Drosophila melanogaster: one gene and its partner. The protein of the gene in region 1 interacts with the protein of each later gene in a pairwise test. Each region holds a gene or a part of one and is shown on either strand. Other genes may lie near its edges. The genes, in order: KP78b and CG9915.

Region 1 (16,574 bases):
TTCTGCCAGTTGAGCAGACTGAATGTTAGTTTGGATTGGTATAGCATGGTAGGCTACGATTGTTTCCTAAAGTGGTCGGGGTAGTGGGTGTATTTCTTTGCGCTTCCGTAAGCAGCAAAACGGTATTTTTCTATACTCTCTAGCCGGAGGGAGGCGGAGAATTGATTTCGCCGCGCTTCGCATTTGTTGACTTGACTCAGACTGCTTGATTTAGGTAGGGGAAGGGAAGAAGGCACCTCTATTATATCTTATGAAAAAAGCAGATAGACGAACGCCTATTGGTTGTCTTTTTGGGGAGAGAAAGACTGAAGAGGAACCTCCTCCAGCTAAAGGAAAATCGGAAAGTTGAGCGGGACGTCTGCGACCACAAAAAGTTTGACCAGGCCGAGCTCTAATCAATAAATCACTTCAAGGTTTTCTTAATTAAAACTTTTCCCTTGCACCCGACCACAAAAAGACTTGTCGAAACATACTTGTAGAGCAAAACTTTTTACACAATCCATGGGAAAAAAGGACATAAAAATTGATTAACTACCGGGCGACCACAAAAAACAAGGACGAGCGCGCAAGCAAAGTTTCCAACCCGTTCCAATAAGAAAAAGTTTCGACTTGAGCAAGAAAAGTGCAAGCCAAAGAAGACACACCAATAAGGATCGGACCAGGGATACGAAACTATGGCACATAAAAACTGAAAACTATTAAGCGCTTAAGTCAGCCGGAAAATGAGACAAAATAGTTGGCCAACTAAGCTCCGGCTGAGCCACCAAGTTGAGAAATAAGCGAGACATTAATTAAGGGTTGCGGCATAAGAAAGGAAATCATTATGGAATGGGTCGAAACGAAAAGAACACTCGAAATCGCATAGGACTAATTGGCAAGCGCGAAAAGAACAATGGTAAAGAAAAAACCGAGCAAAAAGTGAAAGATGAAAAGCCTGGAAAATGTTTCTTAAGCGACCGCAAAAGGGCCGGTGAAAGGAAAAATGTGAAAAATCAAAGGAAGCGACGGCCCCACTTGACATTTCAGCAGGTTAAGCTCGGCTACAGTTTCTTGTGGCACTTCTTGGGCCGTAAAATATTTACCCAGGGTAAACAATACAAACCGCTCTGGGGGCGGATGGCTATGGAAATGGGCGAACCTTTTGTCACTACCAAATCTCGGCTGGCCGGGAAAACTTGGCTATTGACATAATTGTGGGTGGCAGTGGCCCAGGACCAAGAACTCAGTACTCCGTACCCAAGTCACACTCAAGGCGTTGCCGGCAGACACTTGAAGGCGGTGCTGCGCTTCCCCCCGAAGAAACGAAGACGAATCCACCCTCAATTAGACGTGAAGAGCCTTGGCTTACACTTGGCCAATTTGGCACCCAGTCCACTGGATAAATGGGTTTAACTTGCAGTTACAGTTAAACTTCCATTTACACGCTCGTTACGAGTTGTTGCCGCAAATTAGCCCAGGCTCTTTGTTCTGCGAGACGTTGCTGATTAGTCCTAGATGGCTTTCTTATTGGCATTTCCGGGCGAAACTTTTACTGCATACTTTGAGGGCATTCCAATTGGAGTTGCGGCGTAAGGATGAGGATGGAGTGCTTGCATAGTCTGTGGAGTGGCTATCTTATCGGATTCAGTCCTTGATAAACCTCAACTGTCGCCGTCTATATCTAATCAATGACGCGCGCTTTTAGTTAAATTATTGACTCGACCTGTTTGCATAGGCACTTTTATATGCTTCAAGTACTATTTCGATTTATCAGCACCATCTATATGCATATATCTCTATCCATATCTATAAATGCGAGTGCGGTTTACCCTTAAAGCAAACAATCGAAGCTCTGCTCCGTTCTAGTCCCATGCAAATAGACCGCGAGTAGTTTTGTTTGCATTTCGGTTTCGAGCCCAATCTTATCAGTCGGAAGGATGGCGATTGGGATTGGAAGGGGGCGGCTAATTGTGGGATTGGTTTTCCAGGAGTGGGCATGCACATTAATGCACTAGCTGGCTGTCTAATTTATGTGCGACCTGTTACTTGCTTACAGTCACCTTCTTCCGCCAGTTAACAAATTAAACGCTCTGCTTCCGCTCTCAATGGGTCCAATCAGTCCAAAACCACCCTTTTAGCCAGGTAACCCACTCCTACCGCCATCCCTTTTCCAACTCGGTTCCCACCAAAAAATACATACATAGTCGTCGGCCCTCCTGCGGAATTTCCCGTTTATTGGTTTCTTTCCGGATATTGTTATGTTCGGCTGTGAACGCCTTTTCCTTCCGCCGCTCGACGCCTTCAAATTACCACCCCCAAACCCCGTTGACTAACCTGTAGTAGCGGGTCCTACGTAGTTCCTGTTGTTGCCTCGAAAAGTGCAAAATGATTGCGGTTTCGTGTTGCTCAGGGGTGCCCCTCCACCCTCGGCTATTTCCACTTGCAACCCCCACCCTAAGCTCTCTCGCCGCTCCATTTAATGTCGAAGCAACACGCAAGCTGAAATTGTTGCTGCTGCTTTGTGTGTGACCCTTTTAATGTTCCACACAATTGGTTAATGTTTCTTTCTTTTAGTGATCATAATAGAACAATTAAAAATCATGAGTAAACCGTTTTTATTTTTACGCTGTTCTTATGTTAACTAGCTAATGAGAAACAGTACCAAACTTTATACATATAAACGAATTTAAAATTTATTTATTTTATACTTCTATCGTAAAATGTAAAAATTATGAAGATAAAGCAATTGTTAAAATATTATTTTATTTGTTTTGACAGTCAAGTTTCAAGATCAGTTCAGAACGATCACCTTACATATGCCATCAACATTTATTTGTTATACTAAATTTAAGTCGTTTTAATTAAAATACCATTTAGACATAAGGTGGATCGATCGTCCATTCGGGAGGGCTGCTATATCACTTTCGATTATCTGTGCAGGAAAGAATCCTTTTGGGATGCGCTAAACTAACACCTTGCTATTTGGTAAGATTCCTGCCCTGTTCGCTGATGTCCTTTTCGCCCTTGTGGAGTGATCTTCTAACAAAGCGTGCGGACAGCTTAGAGAAGAAGCCAACTCGCGTGGGACGATTTGTGTTTTCGGTGGATGGTGGAGTCTGGCTGTTGGATGCCACCAATTTAAGAACCTTTAGGGGAGTGCTGGTCGAGTCCAGCATTTCGAAATGAGTCGGTGGTGTTCTGGTGCATTCTGAAGCTTGACTTGGCGACTGAGTAATGGGACTCCGAATTTGGTGTGATGCGCTTGTCAGCTTTTGGTTTACAGCCAACTTTCGTTGGGCACTCAGTAGAGTTGTCTTCACATCCACTGGTGAACCGACTCCTTTCTTGGGCATCGCAGATTGTGGAATGCTGGACGGCTCGGAACGTCTGGGATTGGCGGCTTTGCTAGCAGAGCAGCAGATGTATTTTTTGGGCGGTGGTGTCAATGGTAGCGGAGTGAGGGCATTTGCCAAGCGCGGAGCCATGGGACGTATGGAAGTGGCGGCAGGCCTATTCGGTGTACTCTTGTCCAGTGCAAAGGTCACCTGGCTTATAGTAACATTGGGAGCAGCTATAGGGACAGGAATCCGACTGCTGCCTGGCATAGCCGTAGGAGTTTCCCTAAACGAAGATCCCGATTTCTCGCTGCAGGCTGTTGAGCGCGGTTTAGCAACGTCCAGGAGCATATAGGTGCAATAGATGTCGTCGAACTTCTGGTTCTTCAGCGACTGCTCTACATCACGAGGTTTGTGACCCATGTTCGACAGCAAACTCAATCGATTTACATCATGCAGATCCATAGGTTTCTCTTGAAACGGTCTCAAACCGTTACCTTGTTCGTAGCCCATGTTGATCCAGCGATCCGCCATGACAGCCGATAAACTAGTACGTTGCGTTGGATTCAGAACGAGGAACTTCCTAATAAGACTCTCGCATTCAATGGAGACGTAATACGGAACACGATACTTGCCACGTAGAACACGGTCGCGGAGCTCCTTCAGATTGGTTCCATCAAAGGGTAAGGAACCACTCACCAAGGTGTACAGCACCACACCCAGTGACCATGAGTCCACCTCCGGTCCAGAGTACTTCTTTCCTCTGAACAGTTCTGGGGCGGCATACGGTGGACTTCCGCAGAACGTCTCCAGTGGCGCTTTTGGTTCAAACGTGGTGCTGAAACCAAAATCAGCGATCTTCAATTTCATTTGCTGGTCCAACAACAAGTTCTCTGCCTTTAGATCCCGATGCACAATGGACTTGCTGTGACAGTATTCAATAGCAGACACCAACTGGCGGAAGAGCACCCTGGCATCTCGCTCCCGCATCCTTCCGTTTTTGACCAGATAATTGAAGAGTTCTCCCCCGCTGACATACTCCATTACCAAGTAGAGAGTCCTTTCCGACTCGATAACTTGCAAGAGGCGCACAATATTCGGGTGGTTGAGCTTTTTCATTATATTTACCTCTCGGTACAACTTCTGCCGGGCAATCGTATTTAGCGCAGTTTTATCGATCAGCTTAATGGCCACTTCCCGACCGGTGGGCAGATGAATCGCCAACTTGACTTTCGCAAAGTTGCCCTTCCCAAGGGTCTTGATGATCTTGTACACTCCGTAGCCGTTGCCATTTACATAGGACTGAAACTTAGGGCTCGATCTGCCTCCACTGCTCCCAAAACATCCCCCCACATTCTGGGCAGCTGCAGAAGGGGGCGTGGCGGTAGTGGATATCGATGTATTGGGACCGGGATCGTTCTCCTTGTCGGTCGTTTTGTTTGTGTTTGCTGCCGTCATTTCTGGTAGGATTAATTTATCTAAATCCCAGCAAAGCGTTCGCCGCACACTTGTAAGACAAACTGATTTGCTGAGTTTTGACTTAATTTCGTTAGAATGCTCGGTCAGGGCCGACTGTATCACTTTCTTTATCACTCTATCATTCTATCTCTATCACCTTGACATTGCCCCAAACAACCCGACTTCTGGCTATTTGGTGAGGTTCTTGCGCTGCTCGGTGACATCCTTTTCGTTCAAGTGGATTACCCTTCGACCGAAACGTGCGGTCAGCTTGGAGAAGAAACCTACCCGCGAGGCGGGCTTGGTGTCGTCCGCGGATAAGGGTGGCGTCTGATAGCTGTCCTCCTCTCCGCCTGCGCCATTTCCTGATCCACCGCCCCGTTTGCCACTGCGCGCTTGGCCGAAATGAAAAGTGGCCCGTGCCACATTTTGTCGGGTGAAGGGCTTGTCGGAGGTCTTTTCCACTGCTCCACCTCCGGGAATCCGTTCTAGCAGTCGAGCACCCATGGCCGGCGACTTGGGCACCAGAAGTGGAGTGACTGCAGGTTCCGCTTTCTCGTACAGGGTCGTGGGCCGCCTGGAGGATCCCTGAGCTTGATTCGGAGTTTGGGCAACGGGGTACTGGAAGCGCGGAGGAGTGTTGGCCAGCTTTTGGGTCTGGGCCAATTGTCGCTGGGCACTCAGCAGCGTGGGCTTCACATCCATGTTGGCACTGGCTCTCTTTGACTGCGGAGTGTGCGGAAGACTCGAAGGCTCCGGACGTCCTTGGCCGCTCGTATGGTTGGTGGCCTTCCGGGCTGGTGTCCTGGCTGGAGTGCGTCTTGTGGGCTTGGCAGGCGGTCCCGTTGGTGGCGTTGAAGTCGGTGTATTGGGTGCATTTGCCAAACGTGGCGCAATGGGTCTACCCGATGCTGAGGAGGAGTGGATGGGCGGATTCTTGTCCAGCGCAAGCGTGACATGAGCTATGGTAACAGTGGGTGTGGTGATATTAGGAAGCGGGCTACTGACAGCTGGAGTAGTTAAATCCACTGTTGGTATAGCCTCCGGTTTCGTACTGCGGTTCGAGGAGCGCGGCTTGGCCACGCCCAGGAGCATGTATGTGCAATAGATGTCGTCGAACAGTTGCCCCTTTACAGACTGCTCCACATCACGGCGCTTGTGGCCCATGCTCATCAGTAAATCGAACCGGGCTGCATCCTGCAGCTCCATGGGCTTCTCGCGAAACGGACGCAATCGGTCGGATTCATCGTGGCCCAGATTTATCCACTTATCCGACATCACAGCAGAAAGCGAAGTGCGCTTGGCGGGATTCAGGACCAGGAACTTTCTCATTAGGTTTTCGCAGTCCATTGAGATGTAGTAGGGCACACGGTACTTGCCCCGCAGGACTCTTTCCCGCAACTCCTTTAGGGTGCCTCCATCAAAGGGCAGCGAACCGCTGACGAGAGTGTACAGCACCACTCCCAGCGACCAGGCGTCCACCTCCGGGCCGGCGTACTTCCTGCCCATGAAAAGTTCAGGGGCAGCATATGGTGGACTCCCGCAGAACGTTTCAAGCTGGGCGTTGGGATCGAAGGTATTGCCGAAGCCAAAGTCCGCTATTTTAATGTTCATGTGCTGGTCCAGCAACAGGTTCTCCGCCTTCAGATCCCGATGAACCACAAACTTGCTGTGGCAGTACTGAATGGCGGACACCAACTGTCGGAAGATCACCCTGGCATCCCGCTCCCGCATCCTCCCGTTCTTCACCAGGTGGTCGAATAGCTCGCCACGACTCGCGTACTCCATCACCAGGTAGAGTGTCCTCTCAGACTCGATGACTTGGAAGAGGCGCACGATGTTCGGGTGGTTCAGCAGTTTCATGATCTTCACCTCGCGGTACAGCTTCTGACGTGCACTCGTATTGAGCTGCGTCTTATCGATCACCTTGATGGCCACTTCACGACCGGTGGGCACATGAATCGCCAACTTGACCTTGGCAAAGTTTCCCTTACCGAGTGTCTTGATGATCTTGTACACACCATTGCCATTGCCATTTACGTACGATTGAAACTTGGAATCCGTATTTTTACTACTACATGCACCGTCACCCAAATCCTGGCCAGCTGCCACAGTAGGCGTGGCTGGTAGGGCGGTGGCATTTGAGGTAGTGGGCGTGGCTGGCTGAGCAGTGGCGCCTGTTGTGACGATAGTACCCGTGAAATGGGAATCCGGATCGTTCTCCTTGTTTGCTGCTGTCATTGCTGTTTTCTCACTCTCCTTACCCGAAGATAAGTCTAGAATTCCCAAGCTGTTGTCCACGGACATTATAATACTGGGAATTTTGGAGCTCCTAGTCTGAGGTCGATTCTGATTGCCCAGGCGAACGTTGCTCCTATTCAGTGGATCTGCAAGTGTGCCGAGCACGCGTCGTTGGATGGTAACTATCGCCTCCCCTCAAGCTGTAATTGCTGGGTTTCGTCGGTCATCCGTCATCGGGGCCGTTGTTTGCACATCTGCTCTATTTCGTCACCCTCCCGACAGTCTGAGCTTTAAGATAAGAACGCGTGTTTGCAACCCTCAGCCACCCCGAATCCCGTGCATGGCTGATAAGCGGCTCGTCCTGCTCCTTGCGGCAGGATCACTTTGTCTCGACGCACGACCGCATGAGTCGTTAGTTCTTTCAGGAGGCGCTATCAACAACCCCCTGCTTCATGTGGCACGAGCCCTTTGTGATCCTCCGGTGCGATCGTGTGCCCCTGTTGTTCTTGTTTGCGACTGGCGAGGATATATCCCAGCTGGTGGTATTCGGTTTCCTTCGTCAGCGAGGAGTAACAGCTGCCTTCTGGTGAATGGAGAGAAGAATGATTCGATTAGATGTTGGAAGTAATCGGAATCGGGAATTCAATGGTTGCTCTTTATAGAAACTCGGTATTAGGGTAATTTCGTTTCAAATGAATAAAACTAATAGTTAAATGTACATTTACAACCGAATTAGCAACCTTTTTTTTTTCAGTGAAAATTTGTTTATTTGACTAGTCCCAAATTATAAATTGTAAGGGAATGCCAAAAAAAAAACTATCAAAAATATGACTTATTTATTATACATACGAATTTTTGTTTGCGAGAGTATATATTTTTATCCGTATTTTTCTAATCACTAAGAAAGTTCACAGAAACATTTGAATATTGCATTACAGTTCGTATTTGCTCTTATCGACAAATTTTAAAACTTGACTTGTATTCATAATATAGTGACGATCTATCAAATTATTTCTATAGACCTTGCACCACTGTGCACTAAGTGATTTGCTCTCTCCCCTAACAACAGAATTTCAATCGACCTGAAAAACTAATCTCTTCCCTTGTGACAAAGTATTTTCTTCGCCTCTCTGTTCTTTCAATTTTATTTTTTGCATGTCCTGCCGATCCCTAGCTACACTCACACACGCACACACACACATGCACGTCATTACCTATGATGAAACTACCCTAATGGGTTTTACCTACCTATGGATGTATTGTAAAAAATAAAGTACTACAAAGGAACGGGTCCTTAATCTGCCTTTTCTTTTGGCCTACTCGTTCGCTTGCATTTCTCTCTTTTGCTTTGCGTTTGTGTAACGATTTCAGGTTTTCTCTGCCTGCTCCTTTGTGTGCGTGTGTGTGTGTGTGTGTGTAAGGGCCTGCGTGTCCTTGATCCTGCTGACTTGTTTTGCTTGCAACCTTTTCTCGTCATCCCTGCTTTGCCTTTTGTCTGGTCTCCTTTTCCTCCGGCTCTTCGCTTCCTTTTTCAGCTCCTTTGCGTATCCCTCTCTCACTTACGGTATTTGCGTATGTGTGTGTTTTTGAGTTTTTGTGAAATGTTGAAATTTTGAAAATGCAGCTGCTACTTTTGGGTCTTTGTATTTATTATTTTTGCCTGCTCTTCTTGTTTTGCTTCCCCTATCATCTTCTTTTCTCTTTTTCGCAATAACAACATCGCAGATCTGTGGAAATTTGCAATAACAACAACAGTAACAACAAGTACTTGGCTTGGCTTGGTTTTAATTCTGGGAACTGTGATCTCTTGTTGGGCTAGTGATCGCTCCCCTTTTGCCGCCAAGTTCAATGCACCCCACCTAGAGTTACCCCCACTTTTCCCACCCCACACCAGACCCCCCTCTCTCTCTCACACATTCTCTCGATTTTCCCAAGATACCAACACATGTCAACATGAACATGTGCGGGTCTCGGTCTCCCATCTCGTTTCCCCCTTTTTCGCCTTTGTTTTTCTGCCTGTCCATGGGATCTTTGGCTTGTTTTTTCCGAATGCGCCTCTCCTCTCCTTCCTTCTGGCTTCTTCTATTTTGATTCTGGTTCTCTGGCCGTTCTTCTTTGTTTTTTCCTTAACCACTGAGTCATCGGCGACTTTGGGGATCTTCAGGCGCCTCATTCTGTCTGGCACTCATTCGTTAACACACTTACTTCGCACAAAGCGATACAGATACATACAGTTGATCCATTAGCTGACCTTAATAAAACGCCTCTTGTATTGAGATCCAAAGAACGCCCCCCTTAAAGACACGCACAACGGACGCAAGATAAGGCATTCTGGTACCCAAGGGATACGATCGGACTTATCTGACAATGGATGCGAAACTCTGGAACTCACAGTGACCACCGCGTGCTTGCTTAATTACGCTCTTTACTTACGCATCGGTCCATTGGCGATCCCCCCTGGCGGCAATCAAAAACGAATTAGCGTTAATCCACTCCACAAGTGTACCATATCGTTTCGTATCCGTATCGTTGAGCGAGACCGAACTTTCAGATACAAGGCGCGCCGTAGTACTGAAACGCATTGAGCGGAATATCTGAAGACAGGTCTTGAACTGGAACTGAAACGTCTGAGACGGGCTGAGCAAAGAGAGAGCGAAGAGCGTCTTTGTGCTCTTCTTACGCTCAAAAAAATGGCCAACTGATTGCGATCGTGTGCTCGTGCAGCGGATTTGAAAAGAAACGCATTATTAAGATTTACGCCTGCTTCAACTTTTCTCTTTCGTCGTCTTTAAACATAAAATTTAAAAAGAGAAAATTAAAATTTTAAGCAGTTTGATTTTCTCTCTTTCTTTTCACTCAATTTTTGAATTATGTTGCTCTTCCTTCTCTCAATATCGTTTCCTTGAGCGTTTCTTGAGGTGTGACGTCACGGATGCGAAGGGGAGGCACTTCGGGTGTTTCGTGCTTCGTCTTTGTTCGTCTTTGCGGCGAATTTGGCCTTTGTCGTGGTCTTCGTCTTCGTTTGAGTTTCTTCATTGGTATGGGTTATCTTGCGGTGGTGGTGCTGGCGACTGCGATGGTGTATGTGTGCCATCAAGACTTCCCCATTCGTCGTCAACAGCTGTGTCGTCATCGTGTCATCGGTGTGGGAGTAGCCGATGGCCATATCTGTCTGAGCTGTCCGAGTGGTATTGGTGCACCAATAAGAATCGGCCAGTGGTTCCAGTGCTTCTTGAATAACAGCCCCATCCCCCGCGACCATCTCAACGCAATCCGTTGGAGCGCTCTGTTTTGGTAGGGAATGATTAAAAAGTCACCACAACAAATAACAATAATAATAATAAAATGCATTTCTTTTGGCCCGCAAAAATTTCTTTCATTTGGGCATCGCTTTGGCCGGCTGAAAGGAAAAATTATAATGACAAAGTAGGCGACAAGAAGGATTGGATGGGTGGGTGTTGGTTGGTCCGATTGTAGACGTAGACGATGATTATAATAACAGTTTTCTGTGATTTCTCCTCGATTCCCGATTCGTAGTCCCCTCCTTGAAGGCAGGGCTTAATTAAAAAGCTTTTGGCCATTCACTTGGAACAAAAATTAACCCTAACTTCAAGAACATTTCCATTCAAAGTGCATATCGTTTGAAGGCAAGAAAATGAGAACTTTTAATTCATCGCCATATTCAAGCACTTTCATTTCAAGAATTAAAAGTCAACTTAAAAAAGTGAACTTATTTGAAAGAAATTTTTGCTTGCCAGTTGGAAACTAACAATATTCTCTTGGCTTTGAGATTCGAAATTGAAGGTGTTTTGGGAATTTTGGTGGGGGAGAATTTGCATTTAGATGAACCGAAGAAGCCAAGACAAGTAGGCCACAGTGAAATGCTAATGAGAAAGCGGGTAATTCAGCATGCAGTCGATAAGGCGGCTGCCTTTGGCAAAAGTATCCGCCAGATACACGTGGCACGCACACCAGCTGACGCCCCAAAAAATAGGTGAACATAATGCGATCCGACCGACGAAATCACAGTTGGCCACCAGAGGACACGCGCCACCTGATCAGGATGCGATATCTTTCTTCGGCAATATTTGATCGTGCTGAATGCGGAAAAAGCAGATTGCAACTGCAGCTGACTTCGAATGTGGACAAAGGGATCTTCGGCAAACAAAGCAGCCACAGGATATGCGATACAGCCACTTTTGCACATTGCCCCGATGAGTTATGGACTCCAGATTGCGGACCCGAAAAGGGCAGCTTCTTGACAGACAAATGCGGGTGCATATCGATTTCGACTTCGGATCGGCCGGAACGATGACTCCTTGGGCCGTGATCTGCATTTTTGCGTCCTTCTTGCCGCATCGCGAAAGGTGCAAAACGAAGGACGAACGTGCCGCAAAATCTGTGCGGCGACTTAGGTATTTAATTGGGTTTTGCGTTTCACTGTCGATATTCAATAACAGCTGGCTCTCGGCTAAATACACAAATTAACCCATTCAAACAATGCCTTCTTGGAAAGTGTCAAATTCAACCTCCGATCAAGGACCAAACAATGGCCAACCAAATGAGGGAAACCAAAATGCATAGTATATACATTTATGCATCCCAGACAATAAACGAAGAATCACAATTTTCAGCTGTCAAAGGAGGGGGTAAAATCTCCCGATATTCATCAAGAAAACGTCTGATTTTCTCACCGTTTTCCCGGGGCATTTTCGTCAATCATTTGTCGACCACTTCAGCCCTTTGGTCGTGGCAAATCCTTTGCACTTACTTTGCATCGCAGTACTCTGTTCAGTTAGATCGTTCATTCATCCATTCATTCACCAATCCATCCATTCCCTCTACCTGCCATTGTCAAAGAGTTTTCCTTTCGATTTGGTCGCAGTTCCACTGCTTTCTAGCTTTTTGTTATATTTTTGCATAGTTTTGTCGGCTTTGTTCCTTACCGGGAACGGGGCGAAGACTGCTTAGGGATAAACAATATTAGCTGACTGAAGGATTTGCATTCGGCATCCCATTGTCCTGACGGCGACCCGAAGAATTGTCAATAATATTTTGCCCATGCGACAGTTTGCCCCCATCTCCGCCAAATGCAACACTTCTGCTTCTGCCCACATTCGGAATAGATAATGATGGAACTAATCCTTTGCCTCTCACCAGAATCGCGATGGCTTCGCTTGCCTTGGATTGGCCTAATTGAAAAGCGGCGGCAATAACAGGGACAGGCTCAGAATAAGAGGCAGGCACATAATGCATTTCGGCACAGCAATTCGGAAAACTGAAATCTGAAATCTGCATAATGCAAGTGCATCATCTCATCTGTAGCATGTGTGAGTGCACAGAGAGAAACCTTTTGAAATTCAGTAATTATCACAAGCAGAGCGAGAAAGTAAAGGCAGACTTATGTTGTTAAATTGACTTTTTATTTAGGATTTTTAGGATTGGTTATGCTTATTACAAATAATATGTAACTAATTAGAAAATATAAGATATATACTACTCAAGCCATTTTTTCCTTAACAGTTTCTAAGTTTTCTAAGTGTAGTTGTGGCCCATGTAGGAGGCGCCTGGGGACCAGCTTATTAGCGAAGATTGTCAGTCAGCCGCCGAACAACAACGGCAGCAACAACAGAAATTGATTACCAAATGTGCACGGCTTTCGAGTGGTTTTAGCCTGAAATGGGAGGCGGTTGGGTGAGAGGCGGTGAAGGGCGGATAGGCTGGCTAATAAGCACAAAAATCCACATAGAGCAGCAATTCCTTTTAATTGAAAATCTCTCTCTCGCGAGCTTCCCATTTTCCCAATTTACCACATTTTGTTGTTTTCATTTTCGCAATTTCTTTGCGGCTGCAGTGCGTTTAGTTGATAGGAGGGCGGGCAGAAGGGGCGTGGCTGCAGCTCCAAATGCATTCGATATTGCATTTTTTTCTCCGCCAACATGCAAGGATAATAAGGACTTTAGCCAGCTTGGGACTTTTTTGTTTTCGAGCTGTTTCACTTTTCTCTTTTTTTTTTTTGTTTTTTGACTGATTGACTTGCGAAGCGGACGCTTAACCATCGCCTACTGCTTCATTTCTCACACCATTCGGCGTTATCCTGGCGAAGTTGATTGCAGCAAGGACTTGCGTCTACATTGCGGCCCGAAAAATTGCATTGGATGCATTTGCTGGGCAAACAAACTGCCGAAACAAGAGTCATGAAAAAAGTTTAAGGGCCCCAAACTCGTGGTACTCCCGCTCCGCGTAAGACTCGCTGCATGTGCAATGCATATTAGCCGAGTTGTGTCCTGAGTCCTGCGACCTGCGTCCTGAATCCGGTGCCATCCTCGGCCTGTGCATTGTCCTTTTGGTCGAGCGCCTTTCCCGCCTCCCGCCTCCCTCCTCCCACGGTGTTGGGTTTTTTCTGCGGCTGCCTTTTGTTTGATTTGCGAAATTGCAATATGCTGGCTGTCTGGCTGAACTCGTCTCGTCCTGGTCCTTCGGAGACCCCACCCCACTCTGACCCCCTCTGCATACGCAGGATAACTGCAGTTAGACTGCAGTGGCAGTGCAACCGGCTTTTACCAGGACATTCCTATTTCGGGGTTAAAATCTATAAGCTTTGCTCACTCCCCTCTTTGTGCTTATTAATTAATTGCAATTGTATACACAATTTTTGTAAATTGTTTATAAATGCTTTTTAATCTGTACATTTATTTTTAAATGGTTGTCAGTTCAGTTCACTTGATTCTTATATCGGCCTTGTTGTTATTTTTTTATATACTAATTGTACAACTAACTAGACTTTTTAAACGCTTGACCTATTTTAAGGTTGATTCTTACGATATCAGACATCACGTTTGAAGCAATTGATTCCTTTAGCTATAATATATTTACCCCTTTCGTCAACTTTGCTGCTCACTAGCTTGTCGAAAATTCACTTGTTCAAATGACAGATTATCCCCATAAATATTTTAATTTGATTCATTTGCAACCACTCGTAGTTCAACCCCCCAAAGCGCTGCAGCTCCTTCCCCGATCAGGTTGATGTCCGGTCCCCGTTTCCAGCAAAATCTTTTAATTCGAGTGCGTTTTTCATCATCCAAGAGCGGTGGCCCCGCCACTCCGCTCCGCTCCATTCCTCAGTTCCCTGTCCCTTGGCCAGATTTCCGTTTAGGTTGTGGCGCACTGAAAGTCTTGAGGCTACGCCGGAGACCCTTCAACCGACTGCGCCAAAATGCACTGGACGTTGGTCACGACGCGGAGCAGAAATCAAACAATCAAACAAAATGAAATCGCCGGTCCGCCCCTTTTCGCTCCTCGTCTCTTGTATTTTTCTCCCCACTGCTGTAATATTTTTTTGGTTTTTTTTTTTTTTTTATTTTTCTGCTGCTCGCGAGTTTTTGTTGGCTTTGTTCTGCTGCTGCTTTTGTGCACACGCCCCCTCAAAGTCCAGTTTTGCAGTCATCAAGTTTTGCCAGCCCCCTTCTCCTCCTCGGTGGGGGTGGCAGCATATAATACCCCTCTGCCGGCGGGCTTCCGGCTGCCCATGCTTCTTTGGCATGTCTTCGCTTCCGTTGCATCCGTCCATCTTGCCCGTCGCCGCAGTGCTCCACTCCACTCCGCTGCAGTGGCTGCCAGACGAAGGAGCCACCCTTCGAGGACTTTTCCAACCCCCCAGAAGCAGCAGAAGCAGCGGCAGCAGCACCGAAAACTCCAACTCGCCCTCTATATATTTTATTTTTAATTAATTAATGCGAATGCAAAGTACAATTTCTACAAGGAAAACTTGTTTTGCAACTCGCTGACAAACCCTTTTGGGCTCAGGATCCACCCATCCGCCCTTAGCCACCCATAGACACCCAAGCCGCCCTTTACCACCCTACACCGCCACTCAGACCACCTGGCTGTGGCGCCTCCAAATATGCGGCGCAACAGCCGTGTGGCAGGCTGTGAAGAAATGCAGTTAATTTACTCAGAAGTAGCAGGGAATTGCAGTGGGAAAAGCGGCTCAAGTGGGCGGTGGGCTGAAGAAAATTGCTGCTGCAGAAAGTTGCTGCTGCAGTTTCTTTTGTTTTTGTGTGCACGCCGTAATGTATGCAACATAATTTTTGCGCTCTTAGCTGCCGCTGGATGAATTTTTGTTAGTACCCAGGTGGGGAAGGGGGAAAGAGGGGGAATCCATCCTGGGAAATGGAAGGAAAAGCGAGGAGTTGCCTGGCTGGATATGCAGTCACCTCCTTTCAGGCATAACGCGACGTGTGTGTGTGTGTGTGTGTGTTCGTGTGCGTGTGTATCTGTATGTGCGATTTTCTGAGGTAGTTGCAGCAGTTGAAAAACTTTGCTCCGCAAGGTGAGTGGGGTTCGAAAAAACCCTTACAGCACTCGTTCTGTAGGCCTCCTCAGTTTTTCCAGGTTTTTATACATACATTTTTTTCATATTTTTATTTCGGGGGCGCTGGAAAATGTTGCAAAAGTTATTTCTTCACGGGTTTGCCATGGCTCTTAATGAAATATCTGCATGGATGCGAGTGGGTGCAGTTGGCAGCAAAGTGGTCTCCACGGGTTACTTAATAGGCAACAGCCAGCTCACATGGCCGGGCAATAGACTTCATTCGTAGCTGCACAGACAAAAATATTTTACACATTTATCTTACCAAATATTTGTGACCTATTTCAGAAGGACGCGAATTCTTTAGCAAAGCAAAACAACGCAGAATGCAGAGTTCATCTTAGACAATTAAATGCCAATTGAATTCTCATTGATAGTATCAGAGTCAATCATACTTCTTTTCATTTTTTTGCGGTGTGGGCTTTAAGGCCGAATCAACTGTGGGGAATCGGGCTGAAAGAATCCTCCAGTTTGGGCGACAGTTCACCGACACGCTCAAAAGCCTCAAAAGGAGTGCGGGCACGTCTTTCAATCTGTGACTTTTGCGCCAGCACCAGCGCCACCCTATGCAAATAGACAGCCCTCCACCTTGAGCAAAGTAGGATAAAAAGAAAATGCAGCAAAAACGCAGCTGCAGGGCCGAAAGGGGGTGAATGGAGGGAGGGGGGGGGGGGGGGGGGGGGTTGGTCCGTTGCCGCTGCAGACACATTTTAATGATGCATGCAACAGTAAACTGCAATCAGATATGCGCACATCGTTAGTCTTCAGCATCAGCCGCCGTTTGTTGATTATCTTAGAATGGAGAGCACGGCAAGAAAGATAACTCATACGCCCCGTTGGCCGCACAACCTGTGCACTTTCCGCATTGCATGGAAATTTATTTGCCGAGCAAATAAACTGCAGTCTCCCGTTTGCAAGAAGTCGGTACCCGGATTCTTGGCCCCCACTTCCTTTTTATCCCGCTGGAAAGGATGGGAGGGAGCTGCAGAGGAAACCCCTAACGGAGGCACTTTTTTATGCAACTTCTTCAGCACGAGTGGTTTCCCAAGTTGACGTTTCAAATGTCAATTGTGTGCTTAACTGCATTCTTTTGACGACTCCGTCGTCGTCGTCGTCGTTGGCTTTCCTTATTTGCCCCGCGTGTGTGTGTGTGTGTGTGCTCGTAGTAGGGCAACCCGTCTCGGATCCAG
Region 2 (14,495 bases), on another chromosome or scaffold:
GCCATGACCGCAGGATCGGGATCCCTGTCAAATACCTCCTATTCGACGCCCAGCATTAGGGGGCCGAGCTTCTGCAAGAAGAGCGGTTCCGGCTAGAGGATAGAGAGCGTGCATTGCGTAGGAATGGGGAATGGGGGAGCACTTCCTTGGCCCGTGGGCGGTGGCGCAATGTCGCCTGAAAGTGAATTCGAATGTGATGTCTGAGGTCAAGTTTTTAACCTTGCAGATAAACCGACAATGTGAAAACGGCTTGGCTATCTCCCCCATATATTTTTGTTTGTTCCATTTGTTTTTCCTTTTTTTTTTTTTTGGCCGACGTCACAAGATAAAGCGAACTGATATGCAGTCTGCACTCCATACTAAACGTTAGCAAATTAGTTTTCGTTTCGAAACGGATTAGCAGTGGAGCCAGTACTTTATATTTAATTTCCACTCGAACTGAACGAACTAATTAGTTAATTTATCTTTGTTAACTACTCACTAACCCACTAAGTTACCTTGCGAACTCATAGTGCTTGAAATCCCTTTCTCATTTCCCTATGTTTTTGAAATTCCACTGAAGTGGAGTTGATTAAAGAAGAGATTTAATAGTAAGCCAAGCATATCAGAAGAGAATAAAAATAGCATTTAAGAGGCAGGTGAAGCCGTTTGACCACAAGTATCCTACGTTTTAAGGATTTGTCCATTGATGTAATACCTAGAACTAGTAGCTTGCAAAGCACACTCCCTATTAATTTCGCTTTTCGCAGCTGTCTTGAAAGACCAGCGAGGAATAATTCAATAAAAAGAGATTATCAGTTAAGCAATTTCCGTATATTTAACGTATGTGGCGCTAGCATATCACAACAATGAAGAAAAAACAAAAAAAAAAAAACGCAGCAGCAAGATAATAATGAGTTTACTGGTTGAGCTTGTTCTTGAGAATGCTCAACTGGGTGAGGCAGTTGTCGCGGTAGTTGCGGCGTTGGGCCAACTGATCCAGCGGCACCATCTCGCCCAGCTGCTTGGCCACCTCGACGGCGACGGGGCCCTCCATTTTCGGTGTCGGTCCCATTGTCTCGCTAACCGCATAGATGGTGTTCGAGTAGCGTTCGAAATAGTTGGCCATGCCCTCGGCATTCAGATGGGCCGTCTCCAGGGGACCCAGGAAGGCGTAGCGCGGTCCCAGTCCATTGCTCATCACGCTATCGATGTCCTTGACATTCAGGATGCCGGCCTCGACCAAACGCCATGTCTCGTTCAGGATGGCATACTGGATGCGGTTGAGGGCGAAGCCCTCGATCTCCCGCGACAGCGTAACTGGTTTCTGGCCAATCTCCTCCATCAGGGCACGGGTCTTCTTCACCCATTCCGGTTTCGTCCACGGCGCAGGCACGATCTCGACCAGAGGCACGTAGTACGGTGGGTTGACGGGATGCGAGACCAAAACCTGTTCACGAAATCAAGCGTAATTGGGCTTAGTCATTGCGGCGATCACATCGAAATCCAAATAAATGCGAATCAAATTGGGCACAAGGACGGCGCAGCTTTAAATTAAAGCAATTGCAGCTAAGAATGTTTCTTAAAACAATAAGCTGTTTGTATGTATTACGATTAACTATTCTTTTTACCAAGTAATCAGCTCAAGGTGGAGATATACTATGGCTCACTAATCTCAAGAATTCAACTCACATTGGCCTTGTTTTTCAGATCCGCGCTGAAGAGGGAGGGCAGAAAAGTGCTGGTGGAGCTGGAGAGGATGGTGTTGGGTCCGACGACGGCGTCCAACTGCTTGTAGAGCGCCTTTTTCAGATCGAGACGCTCGGGGATGCACTCCTGGACGAAGATGGCGCCCTTGACCAGCTCCTTGAGGTCGTTGGTGCCGGAGATGCAGGCGAATTGCTGGGCGGCGGTCAGTTTGCCGCGTAGCAGGCCCTTGGCCTCCAGATCCTGCAGCTCCTTCTGCGTGGCAGTCAGAGCGGTGGACACCTGCTCGGGCAGGATGTCGTACAGCACCACCTGGTAGCCCACCGAGGCGAACAGCATGGACCAGGAGCGACCAATTAGACCGCTGGAATGGTAACACCGCCAGTCAGCACCTGGATATCCTAGCGAATAACAGCTTCCTGCTCCAACTCACCTGCCCACAATGCCAACTTTCTCGTTCTTTGCCGACATCTTTGTTTATTTACTTTTGCCGATTTACTTCGGTGGAGTTGGATTTAAGAAGGAGCTATGGAGGAGCTATTGCTGTCGACCGCCACTTGGCACAGCGTACATGCGTTTGAGCAATTAGACGGCAGCGCAACCGGTTTAATATTCGGCGATAACCACGCCAGAGGTGAACCCAAAAACGAGAACGAGACCCGAGCCCAAGTGTTTGTGGGGTGTTTGCGGACGCGCTTGATGGGTGTCGCTGGAGATTTCGGAGGAGATAGTGGGCCGTGCGATAACAATGCCGCCCCGTTGGGCAATTGGACGATGCTGCCACGCCCACAGCGCTGTATACACATCATTGAGCTGCCGCGTACCTTGCATTTAGTGCATTTAGGCTTTGAATGCAGGCCCTAAAGTTGTTGAAATTATGTATTTTTTGTTAAATACTATATGCTAGCTAGCAAGCCAAGGAAAATGTAAATGATTGTCCAGAAATTGATTTATAATCATAATTAATTAAAAGAAACCCTGCAAGCAACTCAGTTAATTAAACTTATAAAAGCCAGCATTGGTACACTTCATTTTGATAGCTTTTACCTTGGCTAGGTACGCAGGACGGGTACCTGTACCTTTTCCAACCGGTATTTTCCACTCGCGTGGGTGGAAGGGGGGCTGGTTGTGTGTGTGAGATAGTCCATCAAAAGTTCTCAAGGAGCTACCAATTTCCTAGCGGGTGTCACACGACAAAACTGTGCCAAGATGCCCTTAATTTGACTTTTATTAATAATGCCATTTTATAATGTTAGTTTAGCTACTACGGCGGGTATCTTTGTGATTGTCCGTGCATTTATGTATGTATGTACATATGTATTTGCTACCGGCACAAAAATAACCCCGCGAATTGTTTACTAAGCTTTTTAAGCTTTCGCTGTCTTAAATATAAGGCAATAAAATATTGTAAATATGTATGTTTGTAGAGCAAATGGCAATAACTACGTCAAGTATTATCAATCTGATTCGAGCGTTTCGTTGTAAAACTATTCTAAATATACGTTTTTTCAATGCTCTGCCTGTTCAAAATTGCAACCATAGTCTATAGAATATTCTTAAAAAATGTTTGTGAGTTGTAAATGCAAAGATCTATTTGGTTTGTTTAGTTTAGTTTGTTTAATCTCTACTGACATATTTATCACTTCATTTCTTGTGCGAGATATACCTGGAATGGTACAAATTTAACTTTTAGTTTCTCCAATCTTTGGTTTTTTCCACATAATAAATTAAACGCGACGTCTTAAGATTAGAATGGAAAACATGATCTTGCTTTTCTCATTTGCAATGAATATACAAATCATAAGGTTTCTTCGTGTTTTTAACTTAATATGAAAGCAACCAGACTAAAAATATAATAACCTTTGAAAGAGTATACAAAAGTAATCCTCTTGAAGGATTAACGTTTCCATCTTTAATTAATGGTTTAATTGCTCGTTTTTTGTTTAAGCCAGTATGGAAAGACGAAGAGAATCTGATTAGTGTGTTAAAAGTGAAATTTGTATTGCTATTTTGTTGCTTAACTATTTTATTTGTTTAATGTAATAATGCAAAGTGCAGCTAATAATTAAATTAAGTCTACTTTGCAGCCCAACTGAAAGCTGTAATATCTAATCGGTGAATTCGTATTAATTCAATTACACATGTGCATATTTACAACTAATTTAGTAGCTAATTTAGCTTCCTGATAAGATGGCGGCCTGCATGGATCTCCCATCTCTTTCCTTTTGACTTTGGATTCTAGCTTATCGTTTTCAATGCCTCAAATGGACCCGAAAAATTCAAAAGGCCAGCGTTTCTCGCGTTTAGTTATATTCAAAAATATACATTTTTTTTTTTAATTTCGTTCTATTATTTAATTTAAAGTTAGCTAGAATGCTGCTTATAGTGCCATCTTTCGACCCTCTATCGATATCTCAACGGCCCTGCGGCTCTCCTTCAGTCGCTTTGAGTCCAGGAAACGTTTCATGTGCTTCTCGTAGCGGTTTGGCTTGCGTTTTGTCGACTGAAATGAGATTCAATGGAATCAATGAATAAGTGGAGGCGAAAGCCAGGGCTTTATGCTGGACTACTTACCGCGGAGACTTCACCCTCGACGGTTGACTTTGGGCGGATGACGTAGTCCTTGTTGGAGGGCATGGGAACACGAGCGCGAGCCACCCAACCGGGATCTCCGGGACGCAGCATCTTGTCCTCGTTGGAGAGGGTCTGATTTAAGGTAGGTGCTTTGCTGCTGGAGGAAGGCTCTGTATCCGGACTCTTATGCCGATGACGTGACATCTGCGCCAAATCGCGCTCCTGACGCTCCTCCTTGCTCATCGCTGAGAAGTTGCAGCTAACGTTGAATATCGGCCGAGCCCATTCGGAAATCAGGCGACCAGCGCGATCGCGATTCGACTTGGTCTCCTGGGGGTGTTTGTACAAGTACATCACAGCCTTGCCAATGCCCGACTGTTTCAAAAGTCCCTTTTCAATGGTAGGAAACTAAAGATGGAGAATCCACACATTAGAAGCCATAATATAATATATAATAATCTAAGCATGCCACTTACATCTGATAACAGTTTAAGAATACTCTCGCGTATCTGAAGACATGGCAGACTTTTGTTTGGCAGGGGCGCTAGCCAATCTGTAAGTACATTGAGTATATTGTGCTCCAAGAAGGCCAGCTGCAAGTGCTTCTTGATCAGCTGTGACATCACTTGCTTCAGCATGGAAATCTTCTTTGTGGCCGGCTGACCTATCATGTTCAGCTGACGGTCGTCGTCCGAAGCGTTCTTCATACTGACTATAAGCTGATCGATCAGATCATCGTTGTCGTTGATCAGATCAATATCGCGCTTGCGCCGACGCACTCGCTTCTCTTCCTTCTTTCTCATGAGCATAGCATCAAAGTCGGAAATAAAGTTACTGTTCCTGCAATGGCAGTAAATGTGGGGTTAAAATCTATTCGCCTGAAGGAAACGAAGTCTTACTCTGGTTCATTTGAAATTGGTGTGTTCTCATCGTCAGAGCTCTCTGTGATTTTGTCTTGTGATTTCTCTTTGCCTATGCCCTTGTCCTGCTCATCCTCTTCATTGTCTGTGTCCGTGATTTTTACACGCTTCTTTGTCACCTTCGGTCCGTCGTCTACATTGAAATAATACATAAATTAAGGTGCTTTTAAAGTTGTAGCCAATATTTACCATCAGATTCGCTGATGGCCCGTCTTTTTCGCCTGGAAGCTGTCTGGGATGCGGCACTACCGGAACGAGACCGGGAACCCTTTCGCGAACCACCGCTAATGGAGCGGCTGCGGGAGCGGGATCCGCTTCTAGAACGCCTCGATCCGCTCCTGGAGCGCCTAGATCCGCTCCTGGAGCGCCTGGATCCACTCCTGGAGCGCCTGGATCCACTTCTAGAGCGCTTGGAACCGCTCCTAGAGCGCCTGGATCCGCTTCTAGAACGTCTAGAACCACTTCTAGAGCGCCTGGATCCACTTCTCGAGCGACTAGATCCACTTCTCGAGCGACTGGATCCGCTGCGGGATCGTCTTGATCCACTCCTCGATCGCCTGGAGCCCGAACCACTGCGCGAACGACTCGATCCGCTCCTAGAACGTCTGGAGCCACTGCGTGAGCGTCTAGAACCACTGCGGGAACGGCGAGATCCGCTGCGAGAGCGCGCCGATCCACTACGAGAGCGCCTGGATCCGCTCCGGGAGCAAATGGAGCCACTTCGGGAGCGTTTAGATCCACTGCGCGATCGCCTAGAGCCACTTCGAGAACGCCTTGATCCAGATCCACTGCGAGATCGTCTAGATACAGAGCCGCTTCGCGAACGTCGAGAACCGCTCCGCGATGCATTTGAGCGTCTAGAACCGGACCTACTGCGAGATCGCTTAGATCCACTGCGAGAGCGACGTGATCCACTGCGCGATTGCTTAGACCCACTGCGGGAGCGGCGCGATCCACCACGGGATTGCTTAGACCCACTGCGGGATCGCCTAGAGCCACTGCGGGAGCGACGTGATCCACTGCGGGATCGCTTAGACCCACTGCGTGAGCGGTGCGATTGCTTAGATCCACTGCGGGAACGCCTAGAGCCGCTGCGGGATTGTCTAGAACCGCTGCGGGATCGTCTAGAGCCGCTGCGCGAACGTCTGGATCCAGCAGGCGATCCCGGTGCTGCGCCAGAATGACGGGAGCCACTGCGGGACGGAGCGGAGCCGCTCCGCGACCGCCGGGAACCGTTTAGCGACTGCTTGGAGCCACTGCGCGAACGCCGGCCACTGGCTGCCGAGTGCACCGATCCGCTGCGGGACTTATGGGATCCGCTTCTGGAGCGGGATGCGCTCTTCCTGGTAGCACTGCGACTGCGACTACGCGAGCGATCGGCGATGGCCTCGGCATTATCATCACCATTCTTGGGTGCCGGCGAAGGAGACTTGCTCTTGCTCTTCTCTGGCAATACTGGCTCGAAATTGGTTGCGTCGGGATTGGTATCTTGAATTTCCTTTAGCTCCGCTTTTGCGGCCGTGTCTGTTGTGGTCTTCTCGAGTGGCTCGGATAAGGTCTCGGCTTCGTCGCCGCCGGCCTTTTCTGAAAATTAAGTGTATAAAATGGTTAAACAAGAATTTCCATTAAGAATCAATTTGGTAATCAACCTATTTCAGACGTTTCCATGCCGTACTAATTATTCCTATAAATTTTTAGTAGTACACAACCAAATTTGCCTAGTCAGTTGGTCAAACTGCTTTCAGGCTCAAATTAAATAATTCCTGCAATGACTTATAAAATACGACGCGATTTTATTGCTCGGCATTTGTAAGGCCAGTGGAACGAATGGAAACGGAACATCAACGCTTGTGTGTACACATACACTAATGCATACACGCTGTTTAGGGCCCTTATACACGACAAGCCTTTTGTTATCGATAACAAAACTTCTATGATAAGACATCCGAAATAACTTATTCTACAAAACATTTAAGTCCAAAACTTAAATATCAAAATTAAATTTGTTTATGGACAAAAGTCTTGTTTTAAAAATAGACTGCGACGTACAGGTATTCGTGTCAAGGAGTACGATTTTAATCCTTGGAAATCGATAACCAAACTTATAGAAATTGATTTAATTTGTTAAGTCAGAATGAAAACTAGGTATTGCATATATTCATAGTCATTACGATTATGTATTTTTACCGCTGTTTCTTGAATCAAAAATTTATATTGCTTCTTATATAAATAAAATGAATTTATTATCTGAGGATTATTTTTGCTTATAAATTGTATAAATAAATCATTTATCGGAATAGACATGCTACCAACTTTTCCATTCAATTAATCGCGATTTTCGATTTTACACAGTTTTTGGGTTTTAACTACGCTTGTTTAAACAAAAGATATCGAGAATTTAGCGTTATCGAATCGGAATCCACCCACTTGAAATGCCCCATCCCTAAATTTGCCATGAGAAAACCAAAACAATAATATTTTTAAAATTGGTAGACATGAAGGAAGAGCAAAGCTCTATGTGTATGAAAACGCCGATATCAGCTATGGAATACTATTCTTATCTATATATTTTCTATTTCAGCTATGTTTGCCGAGGATATCCTACGGGATTACGGCTCCTTCATATCGGAGCACGATGGGAAATTGAAATTATTGCGAGATAAAGTGCCTAATCGGGATGTTTCCGAGTCTGCACAGTGTGTATATATGTCGCCCGTGGTCGAGGTAAACTTTATGGGCAACGATTCCATGGCTCCGGACAGAAGCTTTGAGGAATCGGAGCTGGTGGCCAATAAACCGCTGACAACTCTGGCGAATCTGTGCAATCAGTGCAGAAATCTGTCCAGGAAGGCAAAACGGTTCCAGCTGGCATTCCTTTTCAGCGACTTTCGATTAGATGATACGCTCCCGCCACATACCCACACATCCGAGGGTTCCGCCGGCTTGGAGGGATCCTTGGTCCGCATGAGCAGCTCCATGGACTTCTTCTGCCAGGTTTACTTCTTGCTCAATCGCATGATTGTGATACTCCAAAACCTTTGGAGACAAATAGCCGCATCTGTTAGCGTCCCAATGGACATCAATGAAGTCCACATATTCGTAAGTCAACGATCGAACTCACATCTCAAGTGTAGTAACCAATTGAAGTCGAAACTTGCAGGCTGTCTTTGATGCAATGAGTGAGTTACTGGAACACATAGTGGTATTCAATGAACTGGCGAACCAATCGAAGATATCCACCATGTGGGCGCTGTACAAGAAGTGGCTGATGAACCTATCCAATAGCCAATCAGCGAACTTGGAGCTCAATGGCCTTAGTACATCGCTAATGGATATAGAGAATCTGATCACCAAGGATTTCTTTCGGGTAAGTCAAAGAAAAACGTGAATGGTAACCGCCCTTTCATGGATATTTCCAAACAGATTCTACTGGACAATTTGATGGAATTGAAGAAGCAATTTGGCCTGAATAGTGTTAGCCCCATCACCCAGCATTCCAATGCCTATATTCGTAGGCAGCTTCTCGACGTCGACGCGAATCCGAGTAACGAACTTAAAAACTATGAGGATCCCAAGCACATTATTCGACTTACCACCTTCGTGGTCGTCGTCCATGAGCTAGGCATCCAGATGGAGGGAAAACTGGTCAAGAATGTGATCGATTTGGTGGCCAGGCATAAGCAGGTGCCTCTCAACCGAAGCGTTTTCTGGTCGCCTTCCGGATTCCTCTCTCTACATGCCAAAACCCTGATGAAGTCTTCAGCCCGATCGCAAGATGGACAAGGCCCAAAAGTTCATAGCACAGTATTGGAGAAGTTTAGGCTTAGCGATCAGAGGACCTGTCGCCAATTGGGCGTCCAACTATCGCTGTGGTCCATCCAAATGCAAAGGGTATTCGATGTGGGAGTCTTTGGACACCTCAAGACTTTTCTGCAGTTGATTCTCAATGGACACTCCTATGCCGATCAAGTTAACCTGCTGGCAGTCGCGCTGATCAATCGGCACGTGGCTCTGATGACGCCCATGACCAGAAACGATTGGATCGTCGTCTCTCGGTTGCTGCAGTACCTGAAGGTCATTCAGAAGACCTTTGAGTCAAACCAAATCAATTTCGTGCGCTTTATCAGCTCACTGATACAATGGCAGAAGCAAAAGGTCATACACCTGCTGCACACAACGAAAAAGAAGATAGTTGTCCTCAAGTTGCTGCAGCGCAAGATCAACTTTTTGGCCACAATAAAGCTGGCCGAGAAGTCCATTATGGGATTTCCGAGCAAGCAACGTTTGACTTTCGTAAATCTAGCCCTCGGGGAGTTTCTAGATAATCGCCTCCTGCCCGCCGACAATCAAAAGTTGATCAAATCGATCCTACATCGTGTTAATAGTATCAGCGACATTATGCGGAATATTGGTGGACAACTTAACACGTCGGAGTCCTCGAGTCTGGTATATAATCACTGGTTTCTGGACACTTCGGTGCTTAAGGAGTACACCGAACTCCAACGCAATCCCTACTCCTTGCAGGTTGGTTTCTTACTCAGTTTCTGGCAAAGCAACTTCATGTTTATGCCATTTATCATCGGCAGAACCTCGTGTCGGTGAGCCATCATCTGGACAAGATCATGGCCATGTTCAGGGGTTCAAGGTGTCCCAAGCAATCAGCGAATGACTTGATCATTGAGTTTTTGAGCAACCACCTGGAGTTCTTTCTGCGCGTGGAGGCCCTTTCGCATCTCTTCCAGAGCCAGGATCAACCATTCCAGCAAAGTGCCTTAGACTATCGTCTCTGCATCAATGCAGTTGCAGTTGAAAACGATGGTGATTACAATATTATAAAAGGTAAGATATCGGTTACAAAACTGAGAGATCATGCCATTCATTAACATATTTTAGATCATCTTGAGAACTATTTCACTGCCACGTTCTACAACTTAACGACAATCGCTCCGCACGACTGGAAATCGTATGAAAAGATGCGTCATTTGGCCAACAAGGTGCTGCAGCTGCAACCCATCGATGACCACCTGCCCAATCAGATAATTGACCAGGTAACCAATTGAATCATCAATAAGCAATCTCTTCTATTAACCAAACAATTCTTTCCCACTTTCAAGGGCATAGACGTGCTGCAGATCATGCGGAATATACACACTTTCGCCTCCTCGTATGCCTACAACATGAACCTGCAGGTGTTCGTGGAGACGAACAGCAGGAGCAAGCACCTCGACATCATTGGCACCCGGCACGTGGCCAACTCGGTGCAGACGCACGGCACCGGTATCATCAACACCACCGTCAACTTTATATACCAGTTTTTGCGCCAAAAGTTTTACACCTTCTCCACCTTCCTCCACGACGAGCAGATCAAGTCGCGGCTGCTCAAGGAGCTGCGTTTTCACACGGAGCACAAGCACAGCAAGTCCTATCAGTCGTATCCCTATGAGCGCGCCGATAGTTTTCTTAAGAAGATCAGAAGGCTAGGCTGCTCCAGCAATGGCGAGACGTATATGGATCTTTTCAGGAAGGTTATCACACAAGTCGGTAGGTGGTTAAAGACCATAATTCAAGAAAATGCTTAAAATATAAACGTAAATATTGCTTTTAGGCAACGCTGTTGGCTATGTGCGCCTCCTGCAGGCTGGAAGCAAGAATGCCAACTTCCGGAATCGCTCGTATAAAACCAGATTCGACAGCAACTTCAGTTGCGGGGGCTCCAAAGTGCACGAGGCTACGGAGGGTTCCATCAGGGAGTACGAGAAGAGCCTGGGTCACATGAAGGAGTGCTATTCCGATAGCACAAATTACTTCAAGGTGCAGTCTACGATCTTAACAAGTTAGGTAACCAGCTTAACCCATGGATTTATATTGCAGCTTCTTCTGCAAGGCTTTCAGCCCTTTTTGTGCAATCCACATAACCACCACCTGCGAACCTTCTACCTCATCACACCGGCGCTCATCATGAACTACATTGACTACCGGGTCAAGCAGAAGCTAAAGATCTACAAAAAGGACCAGACCAAGATCTCGCTGTTCGAGGATGGCTTCGCCATCGGCCTGGTCTACATCCTCAACATGCTGAACCAGCAGACGGAGTTCCATGAGCTGGGCTGGAGCCAGACGATCACGCAGCACCTGAACGCGGAGCGCTCCAAGGTGCGCGACATTTTGGCGGGCCAGCAGCGGACGGCGCCGGAGCAGCTGGACGAGAAGCTTCACCAGACAGTGGCGATAACCGAACGACATGTGAACGCCTACGAGCATGAATACAATCTATTGTACGCCACCTTGAGTAGCTCCGAAATATTCTTCCAATAAAATATGTCCATTTACCAAAACCAAAGATCCCAGCAGTGACAACAAACAATTGAGTAGTTGGTTGCCGTTTATTCAGATTTATTAAGACGAAAATACAATTCCGATTCCGGTACATAGCGTAGAACGTTGGTATATATATATATATATGCAATTAGATAATCAGCATTACTAATACTATTATTAGTAGTAAGTAAGCCAACATCAAAAGATCAAACATTTTTCTAAGCCCCTCTCGACTCTTGTCGTCTCATTGTTTTTCTTCTTTGTTTTTTTTTTTGTGAATGGAAATGTTAAAGTTACAGATTTAATGCATATTATATAGCCAATTGAACGCTTTCTGACATTGGTGGGCACTAATTCTATTCACTTTTGGCCCCCACATACAATTGATTGGCCAAAGGAAACCCAACATGTCTATTGAAAATATGTTGGTTTGTTATGTATTTTTCTCGTAATATTACAGTACAGTAATTGGTAAAAAAAAATGTTTTGGAGAAAATGCAAATGGTTTTCGTCTTAACAGATTTTTCTTCTTGCAATGTTGCTGTTGCTTTTGCATCGCACCTTCTTAAAGAGAACCAGAGTTAGCCACAATGATCTTCTTGGAGGTCTTGCCAGACTGCGATCCATAAGATTCGATCTTCTTGACCACATCCAGTCCCTCGACGACCTCGCCGAAGACGACGTGCTTGTTGTCCAACCAGGCGGTCTTCACAGTGCAAATAAAGAACTGGGAGCCGTTCGTGTTGGCGCCAGCGTTGGCCATCGACAGGATGCCGGAGCCGGTGTGCTTCAGCTCGAAGTTCTCATCGGGGAACTTGTTGCCGTAGATGGACTTGCCGCCAGTGCCGTTGTGGTTGGTGAAGTCGCCGCCCTGGCACATGAAGTTGGGGATGACGCGGTGGAAAATGGAGCCCTTGTACCCGAATCCCTTCTCGCCGGTGCACAAGGCGCGGAAGTTCTCGGCGGTCTTGGGCACGACATCGGAGCGCAGCTGCAAAATACAAACAAAAGGGTAGAAATTTCGTTAGTAAACAAGAAATTAATGCTAACAAAGTATGACTCTTTTTCAGTTCTTCAAGGTTTGTTTATCCGAACTCGGATGACCTTGCCACTACTTTTTGCTTATTTATTTCTTTTTTTTTTTGAGGACTGGACAATTTTCTGTATAATTCATGTTGAGCGGCAGTAAACATGATCAGCTGTTTTTTGACGCCGCTTTTTTTTCATCGCCATTTTTAGCCCTTTGATAATATACATATGCATGTTCATATGTATGTGCATATCTATACCAAGGGAAAAAATACATATAATGCACAGAACTTTGCAAATGCACTAGAATTTGAGCAATTTTCCAATTCACCCAGTAATCGAGACAATTGTATAAATTAGTCAAGTAAATGCTTTTCCTAATGCCGCTTCTCTATAAATCTTCAATTGTTTAGTGTAGTAATTCGGCGTGAAGTGCAGAATTTTTCGCGCACTGCATGTATGTTCAAGTGTGCGTATGTACATATGTATGTCCTATTGGAAGGAAAATCCTAGACATGTGGCTTGGTTTACTTGGCGGGCAATGACTTTATTCCCAGGCCACTAAAAATATACATCAAGCATTCGCGTTTCCTATTCTTTTTCTCTATTCAAAAATTAGGTGTACATTACATCATCGGCGGAATTAATAGTGAGTTCATGTTTGCAAACGGGTTTACAGAACTCGCGCATTCACACCCGAATATCTCTGTGTGTACACTGTACATCTGCGCGTACATTACCCGCATGCACACATGTACATATGCAAGCACGACAAGAACATACAGACATACGCGAGTGACCGCTTAGAGGTTATGTTCGTGTATTGATCTGCATGTGTGTATGGGTATGAGCCACACATACGCAGACCACGCCGGAATGTACATATATAGCACACATGCACAGATGCATATAAAATACCGGTAAAAATTGCACACCATTTCGGCCAAAGTTTGCCGACACGTCAATTAAAATAAGGAAAATTCCATTCTATAAAGATAATACCACCAAATGGCCGATTTGCGGGGGTTGGTGCTCCTGCTTGCCTGTTTGCTCAAAATTCAGCGATGTAGAGATAATTATAGAGATTTTCCGATTAAACGCGCCTGTCCAATTGGGTTGGAAAATTGAAAATTTACCCATAGCGCATTGTCATGCAATTAGTCATGGAAAGTAATTGCACTTGTCGCTTATAAATTAGAGGGCGAGTTTGCGCTGTGTGTATATTTGGTACAAGTTTTAAATCCGTAAAAATAAAAAGAAAAAAACGGTATGTACTTATCACCTGAGGCAAATAATGTAAAACACAGTCTTAGCTTTAGGCGTAAGAAATGGCTTTATGGGAAATCACGTGTTTTTCACTTTCTGGTCAAATGTCACAAAAAAAAAAACCTCAACTTAAGTTTAAAATTAAAAAAAAAGGGCAAATAACTCACCTCCATGACGATCCGACCGAGGGGCTCGTTGTCGGCGGTCATATCAAAAAACACCCTAGGCAAAGTACTCATCTTTGACGCTTTCGAATATTCGCGAACAATCTGAATTCCAAACTGCAACTGACCCCTATTCACACTGCACGCTGACGAAGCTAGGGTTATAGATTTGTTAGCTAAAATGGCGGACTCCGCAATCTGAAATGCCGCTGCCGACCTGTGCCGAAACTGTCGAATCAGAGTTGCACAAAAAGAGACCATCGTGTATGGCTTGCGACCGCATGTACGATACTACGATATCGTTCCGTGCGTTCCATTCCGCGCGTTTCGCTGCTGCTGCGGTCGCAGCAATTGTTACATCACTTTAGGGCGCCCATAAACGCACTTTGTGCTGCCCATTCCCCCATCAAAACGGATAAATGGTCGCGTTCATGCGCCCTTTTTACAATTTTTATAATAAATAAATACATTTACTTGCGCTCATTTGAAACCGCCAATCGAAACAACGCATTCGCCTTCGTTAAGTAAATATCTTACA

Evidence for each region.
Region 2: the proteins of KP78b (region 1) and CG9915 interact in a two-hybrid assay, tested with the Drosophila melanogaster proteins (one large-scale study listed by BioGRID).

What each region holds. Positions count from the first base shown.
Region 1 is NT_033777.3:11,343,567-11,360,140, forward strand, and holds KP78b (KP78b), read right to left. Parts: upstream 9,566-16,574; 5' UTR 9,447-9,565; intron 7,597-9,446; 5' UTR 7,080-7,596; coding exon of another isoform or gene 4,962-7,079; 5' UTR 4,773-4,961; coding exon 2,958-4,772; 3' UTR 2,728-2,957; downstream 1-2,727. Other genes in the region: KP78a, read right to left, coding at 4,962-7,079.
Region 2 is NC_004354.4:16,306,119-16,320,613, forward strand, and holds CG9915 (uncharacterized protein), read right to left. Parts: upstream 7,021-14,495; 5' UTR 6,849-7,020; coding exon 6,830-6,848; intron 6,765-6,829; coding exon 5,370-6,764; intron 5,314-5,369; coding exon 5,160-5,313; intron 5,101-5,159; coding exon 4,737-5,100; intron 4,669-4,736; coding exon 4,261-4,668; intron 4,190-4,260; coding exon 4,067-4,189; 3' UTR 3,699-4,066; downstream 1-3,698. Other genes in the region: CG3679 (uncharacterized protein), read left to right, coding at 1-96; Had1 (beta hydroxy acid dehydrogenase 1), read right to left, coding at 899-1,429, 1,672-2,050, 2,120-2,157; SWIP (strumpellin and WASH-interacting protein), read left to right, coding at 7,764-8,279, 8,341-8,547, 8,604-9,704, 9,767-10,019, 10,074-10,228, 10,295-10,721, 10,786-10,991, 11,052-11,495; Cyp1 (cyclophilin 1), read right to left, coding at 12,064-12,489, 13,961-14,218.